Linked DNA regions of Saccharomyces cerevisiae S288C. Changing the gene in region 3 together with the main gene of any one other region gives a genetic interaction. Each region holds a gene or a part of one and is shown on either strand. Other genes may lie near its edges. The genes, in order: CAT5, BUD27 and RIT1.

The links.
Region 1: mutations in RIT1 (region 3) and CAT5 together harm fitness more than expected from each alone (negative genetic interaction), as found in Saccharomyces cerevisiae (3 studies listed by BioGRID).
Region 2: mutations in RIT1 (region 3) and BUD27 together harm fitness more than expected from each alone (negative genetic interaction), as found in Saccharomyces cerevisiae (2 studies listed by BioGRID).

Annotation. Positions count from the first base shown.
Region 1 is NC_001147.6:558,370-561,256, reverse strand, and holds CAT5 (putative monooxygenase CAT5), read left to right. Parts: upstream 1-1,525; coding exon 1,526-2,227; downstream 2,228-2,887. Other genes in the region: GTPase-activating protein RGA1, read right to left, coding at 1-87; IAH1 (isoamyl acetate-hydrolyzing esterase), read left to right, coding at 580-1,296; ubiquitin-specific protease UBP2, read left to right, coding at 2,615-2,887. UniProt on the Saccharomyces cerevisiae protein: Catalyzes the hydroxylation of 2-hexaprenyl-3-methyl-6-methoxy-1,4-benzoquinol (DMQH2) during ubiquinone biosynthesis.
Region 2 is NC_001138.5:88,955-92,714, forward strand, and holds the start of BUD27 (prefoldin-like protein), read left to right. Parts: upstream 1-2,031; coding exon 2,032-3,760. Other genes in the region: EPL1 (Epl1p), read right to left, coding at 1-1,391. UniProt on the Saccharomyces cerevisiae protein: Involved in gene expression controlled by TOR kinase and nutrient signaling. May also be involved in positioning the proximal bud pole signal.
Region 3 is NC_001145.3:834,862-838,621, forward strand, and holds RIT1 (tRNA A64-2'-O-ribosylphosphate transferase), read right to left. Parts: upstream 2,007-3,760; coding exon 465-2,006; downstream 1-464. Other genes in the region: AEP2 (Aep2p), read right to left, coding at 1-237; ATP-dependent DNA helicase YKU70, read left to right, coding at 3,326-3,760. UniProt on the Saccharomyces cerevisiae protein: tRNA backbone modifying enzyme that mediates initiator/ elongator tRNA discrimination. This enzyme modifies exclusively the initiator tRNA in position 64 using 5'-phosphoribosyl-1'-pyrophosphate as the modification donor.

The DNA.
Region 1 (2,887 bases), on a different chromosome or scaffold from region 3:
ACCCAACTCATATGCATGCCCCGTGGTAATAAATTCTTTGCATCGTACGCAGGATGGAAATTGTTCATTGGGAGCAGTTGATGCCATTTTAATATGCCGCTCTCTCCACCACTAGTACCTGAATCAGCTATCCTTGTCTTGTACAAAAAGCTATAATAGAGATAAATGTCAAAACCGTGGTGCTTTTCAGTTTCTTAAAAATTTTAGTGATACCGATCAATTTTTTTTTCTATTTTAAGCAACTGTGAATTGATCAAGAATGTTGACTGATCAAAACTCAAAACACCCTATTTGGCAAAGAAATTTAGTCTGTTTGAGCAGTCCTACCCTTGGAAAACGTTCAATGAATTAGCCAGTTGGCTGATACAATCTCATCAAAGGTCAATAGAGAAAAGCACACGTTAATTATATCAAATCTAAACTCGAGAACTGCCTTTTTTTTTTTTTCATTTTTCCTAATACGGCATAAAGCGCGCAATAATAAGGGCACTTTACACCTTCTCATCGTGGTAACACATACGAAACCAAGAACTAGCCTCTACATTATCATCTGTTCGTACGCTTAAACTGTGACCAAATATGGATTACGAGAAGTTTCTGTTATTTGGGGATTCCATTACTGAATTTGCTTTTAATACTAGGCCCATTGAAGATGGCAAAGATCAGTATGCTCTTGGAGCCGCATTAGTCAACGAATATACGAGAAAAATGGATATTCTTCAAAGAGGGTTCAAAGGGTACACTTCTAGATGGGCGTTGAAAATACTTCCTGAGATTTTAAAGCATGAATCCAATATTGTCATGGCCACAATATTTTTGGGTGCCAACGATGCATGCTCAGCAGGTCCCCAAAGTGTCCCCCTCCCCGAATTTATCGATAATATTCGTCAAATGGTATCTTTGATGAAGTCTTACCATATCCGTCCTATTATAATAGGACCGGGGCTAGTAGATAGAGAGAAGTGGGAAAAAGAAAAATCTGAAGAAATAGCTCTCGGATACTTCCGTACCAACGAGAACTTTGCCATTTATTCCGATGCCTTAGCAAAACTAGCCAATGAGGAAAAAGTTCCCTTCGTGGCTTTGAATAAGGCGTTTCAACAGGAAGGTGGTGATGCTTGGCAACAACTGCTAACAGATGGACTGCACTTTTCCGGAAAAGGGTACAAAATTTTTCATGACGAATTATTGAAGGTCATTGAGACATTCTACCCCCAATATCATCCCAAAAACATGCAGTACAAACTGAAAGATTGGAGAGATGTGCTAGATGATGGATCTAACATAATGTCTTGAATGCAGTAATCCTTTGTACGTACTCTGTCTATATTTCCCTAACTTTTAAGCAACTGTATAATTTTTCATATACGGGATTTTCAGGAAAAAAAACAATAGAAATCTATAAAACATGTTTCCTTATTTTTACAGACGAGAGTTTTATTCTTGTGAAAACGTCGTTATCTTCTCCTCCAAACCAATTCAAGGAATAAAGATATCACGTATACGGGAGAGATACATAGAAATTATGTTATCCCGTGTTTCAGTTTTCAAACCTGCCAGCAGAGGCTTTTCCGTCTTATCATCTTTAAAGATAACAGAACATACATCAGCAAAACACACCGAAAAACCTGAGCATGCTCCCAAGTGTCAGAATTTATCAGATGCTCAGGCTGCATTTTTGGACCGTGTTATTCGTGTAGATCAAGCTGGCGAATTAGGTGCAGACTACATCTACGCTGGCCAGTACTTCGTGTTGGCTCATAGGTACCCTCACTTGAAACCTGTGCTAAAGCACATATGGGACCAGGAGATACATCATCATAATACTTTTAACAATTTGCAATTGAAAAGGAGAGTCAGGCCTTCCTTATTAACGCCTTTGTGGAAGGCAGGAGCCTTTGCAATGGGGGCTGGTACCGCATTGATTTCTCCAGAAGCAGCTATGGCTTGTACTGAAGCTGTCGAGACAGTAATCGGAGGGCACTACAATGGCCAATTGCGAAACTTGGCCAATCAATTCAATTTAGAAAGAACAGATGGAACAAAGGGTCCAAGTGAGGAAATCAAATCCTTAACTTCTACTATCCAACAGTTCAGGGATGACGAGCTAGAGCATCTAGACACCGCTATCAAGCATGATTCGTATATGGCAGTTCCATATACAGTTATCACTGAAGGTATTAAAACGATTTGCAGAGTAGCTATATGGAGTGCCGAAAGAATTTAACCACCAGAAAGTGGCATACATCAGTCGCGTTATGCCAGAAAAGGAGAATTGAAAGGAAAACGGTTTGATAAATGTCCTAATTAAACTATCATGTATAAAATTATGTATCATCCTTACGCATTTTAACGCTATATGACCAATATGACAGGAATAGATACACTGTCTATAATTATGTAAATGGGGTATGGGTTCATAGTCTAAGGGTGAGTACAAACTGGATCTTTAACAAGAGTAACAGTTAATTAGAGCAAAACTATAGTACATATAGCTTGAAAAAAACAAGCGGCTTGCCATTGGAAGAACATTGCATAAAAACGGGGCCACTGCTAATAATAAAGTGGTAATTAAAAAGAAAGCTTTTGTTCAAGGTTAAGAAGGTATAAGGAAATGCCGAACGAAGATAATGAACTTCAAAAAGCAATTGAGAACCATCATAATCAACTACTAAACCAGGATAAAGAAAATGCTGACAGAAATGGGTCTGTTATAGAAGACCTCCCATTATACGGGACAAGTATAAACCAGCAGTCTACCCCTGGAGATGTTGACGATGGAAAACACTTACTGTATCCAGATATTGCCACCAACCTACCACTGAAGACTTCTGACAGACTTTTGGACGATATACTTTGCGATACTATTTTTCTCAATTCTACAGAC
Region 2 (3,760 bases), on a different chromosome or scaffold from region 3:
AGGGCATTTTGCTGTTGTTGTTGTTGTTGCTGTAACAGTTGCTGCTGTTGCTGCTTGGTGAGCCTAGAAGATTTGTCTTCAAGTTGGTTATTCCTTTTATTGTTCTTTGCCTTCGCTGCCGCTGCTGCAGCAGCTGCTCTCTTAAGTTCAGCTTTCCTTAGTTCAGCTTCCCTTTGTTCGACCGTAACAATCGTGGGGCGTTTTCTCTTGTGGTTAATCAAGTCATCGTCTTCTCCACTAATGTTCAAAGATCTTTTCAAATTCTTAATTTTTACCCTTTGATCGAATATTTTTAATTCATCATTAATCCAATTTAGGGAAACGTTCTCACGTTTAGCAACAAGCAGGGCCAAGTCCTTCGCGTTTTTCAATTCTTGATGCAACGCCCTTAAACGCTGACTGTTTAAGATATCTATACGTCTTGTTTTCCGCGGATGTCTCACTTCTCTTCTTCTGAAACAGACGTAGGGATCAATCTCTTCTTTTTCACCCGGCCTTTCAAATTTCAGCTGCGGAAAAATTTCGTACCCGTTAACTTCAATTTTTCTTTCTCTCCAATAATCATAAATTTTAGAGCCGAACTTCTCTATCAGCTGAATTAAAGGTCTCGTATTCATTTGAGATACGGGGTCGAATTGTGTGATAAAATGTGTTTTATGAGAATTTATTTCATGATTCAGCTGGTTTCTTAGATTGAAATCAGCCATATCTGATTTTATTAATGTGGGCTTCAATTCTTCAAAAGAAAGTATACTTTCCGGATCCATACTCAAGAATGGTTGACGCTCGTGAATAGCATGTTCAAAACTGGAACAAAGTATTTCAAATTCGTCTTCAGTTAAAATGTCTGATGAACCTTTGTTGACTTGTTCATTTAAAAAGGTCTCATCTCTTTCATCCATATTGTAGTTGGTACCACAGCAATCCTCCACAGTGGCAGAAAATTTGATGTAGCTGGTGGTCTCCTGGAAACTGCCCGTATAAAACTTATCATATTCATTCCAAGTCATAGAAGCATCCGGGGTCGGAATATAGTCTTTGTGCTTTGTATGACCAGAACCCATTTGTAATATTCGATGCAAATGGACCTCCTTTTCTTCATTTTTTTCTACACCAGTTTCGATCTCAACCACCTCTCTCTGTTGCAATTCATCTTTATCCAGGTGTTTCAGATCGTTAGGCAGATATATCTTAAGATGTTGCTTCACAGATATTTTTCGATGTCTAAATCGACTATTACTGCTACCAGCACTGGCTCCAGCACCTGAATCGCCTTTTGAGAATGAATCTAGACCGTCATCGTGCGCACTCCTAGATCCAGACCGCCTAGTGCTTCTACCAGATTTATGCGAACCGTCATTGATCTCTATAGCGTTTGAAGGTGTCGGCATCGTTATTATCGTTATTTGCTAATGTTATTACAATGTTTTTATAAGCACGTGACTATAATGTTACCCTATCGTGTGCAATTTTTATTTATGTTGACCTGAAGTCCGCAGTTGCCGTACAATGTGAGAATATGGACAAAAGGAAGGCGAGGGTGGCAAAAAGAGGAGTCAAAAATAGATAGCGTTTATTTTATTATAGCAGCTCAGAGGAACGCGATGTGGTGTAATAATATTGCGAGTGTCTAATGACCACCAGAATACGAGCACAGTTTTGGCTGATTTTTGCAAACTTTTTTGCTTTTGTGTAGTAACCTCTCACAGGTATTGCTTGTATGCTATACCATGTGATATGTAATAGTACAATTTTGTGGTCGGATCGTGCTTTTGCCACCCGCGGCCGACGGAGAAAATTTTTTTCCTCTATCCCTTTGTTTCTCGCTTACTCCTGCGGTATGGGGTGCTAACTATGGTGAGCGAGTATGGGAAGAAGTAGCGATATACGGGTAACCCTAATGTTTGGGTGTTTTGAAATTTATCCTTGGAGGATAGGCGATGAGCTGCTCTTAAAGGTTTTAACAGAGAGTGTTGTATGAATATTCTGTAGAATTTTATAGTAAACAGGTATCCTCAGACTGTAATAGCCATGGATTTGTTAGCGGCCAGCGTAGAAAGTACGTTGAAAAATCTGCAAGATAAGAGAAACTTTCTTTCGGAACAAAGAGAGCACTATATAGATATCAGAAGCCGACTGGTTAGATTTATCAATGACAATGATGATGGCGAAGAAGAAGGCGAAGGCCAAGGGATGGTGTTTGGTGATATCATAATTTCTACGAGTAAGATATATCTAAGTCTAGGCTATGAGTATTACGTTGAAAAGACCAAAGAGGAGGCCATCACGTTTGTTGATGATAAATTAAAACTAATGGAGGACGCCATTGAGCAATTTAACCTGAAGATCGAAGAGGCTAAAAAGACCTTAGACAACTTGAATCACATGGAGGACGGAAATGGAATTGAAGAAGACGAAGCGAACAACGACGAAGATTTTCTGCCCTCTATGGAGATTAGAGAAGAACTAGATGACGAGGGAAATGTCATAAGTAGTTCCGTTACCCCTACAACAAAGCAACCATCACAATCGAATTCCAAAAAAGAACAGACACCTGCAGTCGGTCCAAAGGAGAAAGGATTAGCAAAGGAGAAGAAATCAAAGTCATTCGAAGAAAACTTGAAAGGAAAGTTATTGAAAAGGAACGATGAAGTAAAGAAAAAAGTGCAGCCATCTAAAGTAGATACAGAAAACGTGTATACATTTGCCGACTTGGTCCAACAGATGGACCAACAAGATGAATTGGAGGACGGCTATATTGAAACTGATGAAATAAATTATGATTATGATGCGTTCGAAAACTCCAATTTCAAAGTCAATGATAACTATGAAGAGGATGACGAGGACGAAGATGAAGAAGAGTATCTAAATCATTCTATTATACCTGGCTTTGAAGCGCAGTCCTCATTTTTACAACAAATTCAACGCCTACGCGCACAAAAGCAATCCCAAGATCATGAGAGGGAAGAAGGTGACGTTAATAAATCATTAAAACCTATTTTGAAAAAGTCTTCTTTTGCTGAGAATTCAGACAAAAAGCAGAAAAAGAAACAAGTCGGGTTTGCATCTTCTCTAGAAATTCACGAAGTCGAAAACTTGAAAGAAGAGAACAAGAGGCAGATGCAATCCTTTGCGGTGCCCATGTATGAAACCCAGGAAAGCACAGGTATCGCTAATAAAATGACATCGGATGAGTTTGATGGTGATTTATTTGCTAAGATGTTGGGTGTCCAAGAGGCCGATGAAGTGCATGAAAAATATAAAGAGGAACTGATAAATCAAGAGAGACTTGAAGGGGAAGCAAGCAGGTCGAATAGAAGAACTAGGGTGTCCAGATTCCGGAAGGATAGAGCTTCTAAAAAAGAAAATACGTTATCAACTTTCAAACAGGAAACGACAAGGTCAGTGGAGAACGAGGTAGTGGAAAAAGAGCCTGTTGTGGGGGATATTATAGAAAAAGAACCTGTTGTGGGGGATGTTATAGAAAAAGAACCTGTTGTGGGGGATGTTATAGAAAAAGAGCCTGCTGTCACCGATATAGTGGAAAGGGAGCCTGCTGTCAACGATATAGTGGAAAGGAAGCCTGTTGTGGGGGATATTATAGAAAAAGAACCTACTATCAACGATATAGTGGAAAAAGAACCGGAAATTAACAGCAAGAGCGAGTTTGAGACTCCTTTTAAAAAGAAAAAGCTAAAATCACTGCAAAAACCAAGATCATCGAAATCAATGAAAAAAAAATTTGATCCCAAAATTCTCG
Region 3 (3,760 bases):
TTTTGATCGATCAATTGCACATACCGTGTGAGTTGAATAGGATTTTTTGATTAAAATATCATTTATGACAGCCCTACCCATTACATACGTTCTTCGGGGATAGACAGAATGACATATTGTGCTATTCGGCAGTACACCAAATTCACGCAGCGATTTCACTGATACAGTGCAGAGCCTCTTCGTGTAAAACCTCAGAACACTGTAGGATGGATGTTTAACCAGTCTATTTATCCACATTAATCATAAATTTAGGTAGTGGACTGTTAACGAAGGAGAGCTTCGTTAATTTGTTCTTGATTTTACATATTCTTTTCATTAGCCAATGTCTGAAGGGCTCTTTTTCAATGAACCTTTTCTGTTCAGGATAAACGGTAACCCGCTCTTTTTCTAATAAAAACTGACGTTATTTGATATTAAAATATACAGTGACATTGCGAGTAAACATCTCAGTATTGCCTAACTCACTACATTAAAAAGCTATTGACGCTGTTCAGTGTTGCTCTTGAAGGGTTAACGTTGCGTCCTTTCAAGTGGGAAATCAATTTTGTCAAGTGTTTTCTTACAATAAGCTTACTGATGTCCGGTAACTCCGACGTAAGCATCCATTCTTCAGTATATTTGGTACAAAGGATACTTAAGATGACACCGATTGACATATCAGTACCTGTATTGCAGCATATTAGCATTGGCTTTATTTTTTCATCTCGATTTGTAAACAACGATTGAATTTCTCCATGGATTCTAGGGAATGTGGATCGTAAAGCTTTTGAACTTTTCTTGTCTCCGCTTTGCAACTTGTATATTGAAATAAACGGATCTGTCCCACTTTCTTCTTCATCGTCTGTATCTTCAGCAACAGTCACCGAATTACTGAAAATTATAACTTTACCATATTCTGACTTCAATTTCTGTTTCAAATTCTTATTGATGGTTAAGCCTGAACTCACTTTTCCTAGAGATATCTCATTCGTAATTTTATCAATGTTTCCAAAGACTTCATCCAAGCTTCCTTTATCTTGTATATAACACTGATTTCTCAGCTTTGCAGCAGCCAAATCCATGATGTAATCATGTAACTGGTCGTCTGAATAACTTGCGTCGCCTAGGTATTCTATATGGGCCCAAAACATATTTGAATCCAAACCAAAAGACCAGAGCTCGTGATCGTCGGCTGCACCCTGCACATAAGTGAAGCCGTATCTTTTATCCATACCATCTTGTGCTTGATAGCTTACCGTGCACAAAATAATGGGTATTATGTTTTGGTCTTCAGGTGTTTCCCAGGCTTCATACTCCTGTACTTCACCCGTGAAGTAATCAACAGAATGGTCTAGAAGTGAAGAACCAGGGTGAACCCATATGGGCCGCAATAACTTACCCATAAACAGTTCGTTCAATTTCTTAGAATCTATAATATTCAATTTTTGTAGTTTAGCAACTAGTTCGGGTATTTTTCGCTTAATCATGTCATATTCTGATTTGGGAACTGTCTCAGGTGGAAGATACAGTACCTTATCGATGGCAACATTTTTTTCTGTTTCCTGAAGCATTAACGTATTTAATACAGCACACCATATGGGGACAGTCTTACTCAAAGCATCTGGGATTTTTTTACCTCTTCTAGTACTATCGACAATTATAATACCTTTATTATCTCGAATGGTCTCTAACAAATGAAAGTTCAATCTTCGGGTGCTAAAGTCCCATTGGTTGACATGCCCGTCTGTGCTCTTAAAGTAACTGGTCTGTTTGAAACTTGATGGATTACAGTACCATAGCCCACATCTTTCATTGGGTATCAGTGGATAATGGGGAAATATAGGGATAACTCGATCTTGCAAAAATTTATTGTCTAAAAGAATACTCTGAAGTCGATTCCTTACGGACTTGTTTTCCTTTCTGATGTCTTTATTTATCTGAGATAGCGAAAGATAAATATTTTCATCCATCACGGATATACTAAACTGTACTCTGGATCTATATCTCTTTGATAGCCTCGATACCATCCATCAAGAGATCAAAATTTTCAAGCATGCTTTTTTTTTCCTGCATATGAACAATGAATAATGGGCCCAGTCACAGTTAAGCAGTAATAAGAACAAAGCACATAAACATACAACGCATATATGAAGAGCAATAGAGTGGTGGGATGATTTTAGAAGTTCATTTTTGATGAAGATGATAAGATTATGTAATAGCGGCTATGCTAAGCTCCCTTCGGGCATGGAAATCAACAAAAAAGTTGTAACCGTACATAATATGACGGGAAATGCAACAAGCTTTCCAAGAAGTAATGGAAGGCATAGCTAAAGGACTATCTGGCTCGGCCATAAGTTTGAAATTTGTGTATACAGGTATAGGAAACCCTTATACCTACCTAAATCGTCGAAGCTACTGATATATTGCGTATAGTCGATATGCCCAATGTAATTCATATTTCATACTCTTCTCTTGTACAGATTAAGGGCACCTGTTTTATTCTTAGAATATACTACAACCTGCCTACTAATTAACAATGATACTATTAACGGTGCAAAACCGGATGCTCAAATTTAAAGTGATTACTCAGTTATAAACACGCCTGGTGTGAAATTAACGACCATTAATAAGAATAAATATTACTGGCATATTATAATATGCGGTGGAAAAACATAAAATAAGGATTGAGAAATAGTTATCAAGTATAATGGAAGCTGAAGTGCAAGGATTGATAATGTAATAGGATAATGAAACATATAAACGGAATGAGGAATAATCGTAATTTTATTATGTAGAAATATAGATTCCATTTTGAGATTTCTATCCTCGAGGAGAACTTCTAATATATTCTGTGTACATAATATTATATAGCCTTGATCAACAATGCAATCCCAACAATTATCAAATTATTCACCCAATATTCAGTATAATCCATATTTATAGAATATATAGGATAATTATCATCCCCTCAATCAAGTTGATATTCCGTTTTGACAACAGGTCACTTCTGCAAGGTTGCTTATATTAAAATTGTGAATAAGCATGATATTAGACGGACTCATAATTGAATGGTTATCAGTTAATTGACTCTCGGTAGCCAAGTTGGTTTAAGGCGCAAGACTGTAATTTACCACTACGAAATCTTGAGATCGGGCGTTCGACTCGCCCCCGGGAGATATTTTTTTACTTTTGATTACCTTAATTTTTGAAGATTCTCAATTTCATGTATTAGGGATTGCTTTAAGGTAGCTACCAAATGACATTCTCTGTATTACTGTTCTAGTTTTCAACAGTAAAGCTATGATTTGTTAAGTGACTCTAAGCCTGATTTTAAAACGGGAATATTATGCGCTCAGTCACTAATGCATTTGGCAATAGTGGAGAACTTAACGATCAAGTGGATGAAACAGGTTATAGGAAGTTTGATATCCATGAAGGAATTTTGTTTTGCATTGAACTATCAGAGACAATGTTTAAAGAGTCCTCTGATCTAGAGTATAAATCACCATTGTTGGAAATTCTGGAATCACTAGATGAGCTAATGTCACAATTGGTCATAACAAGACCTGGGACAGCTATTGGTTGCTATTTTTATTACTGTAACAGAGAGGATGCCAAGGAAGGTATCTATGAACTTTTTCCATTAAGGGATATAAATGCTACATTTATGAAGAAATTGAACGATCTTTTAGAAGATTTATCATCGGGGAGAATAAGCCTATACGACTATTTTATGTTTCAACAAACTGGGAGTGAAAAGCAAGTGCGCTTATCTGTATTA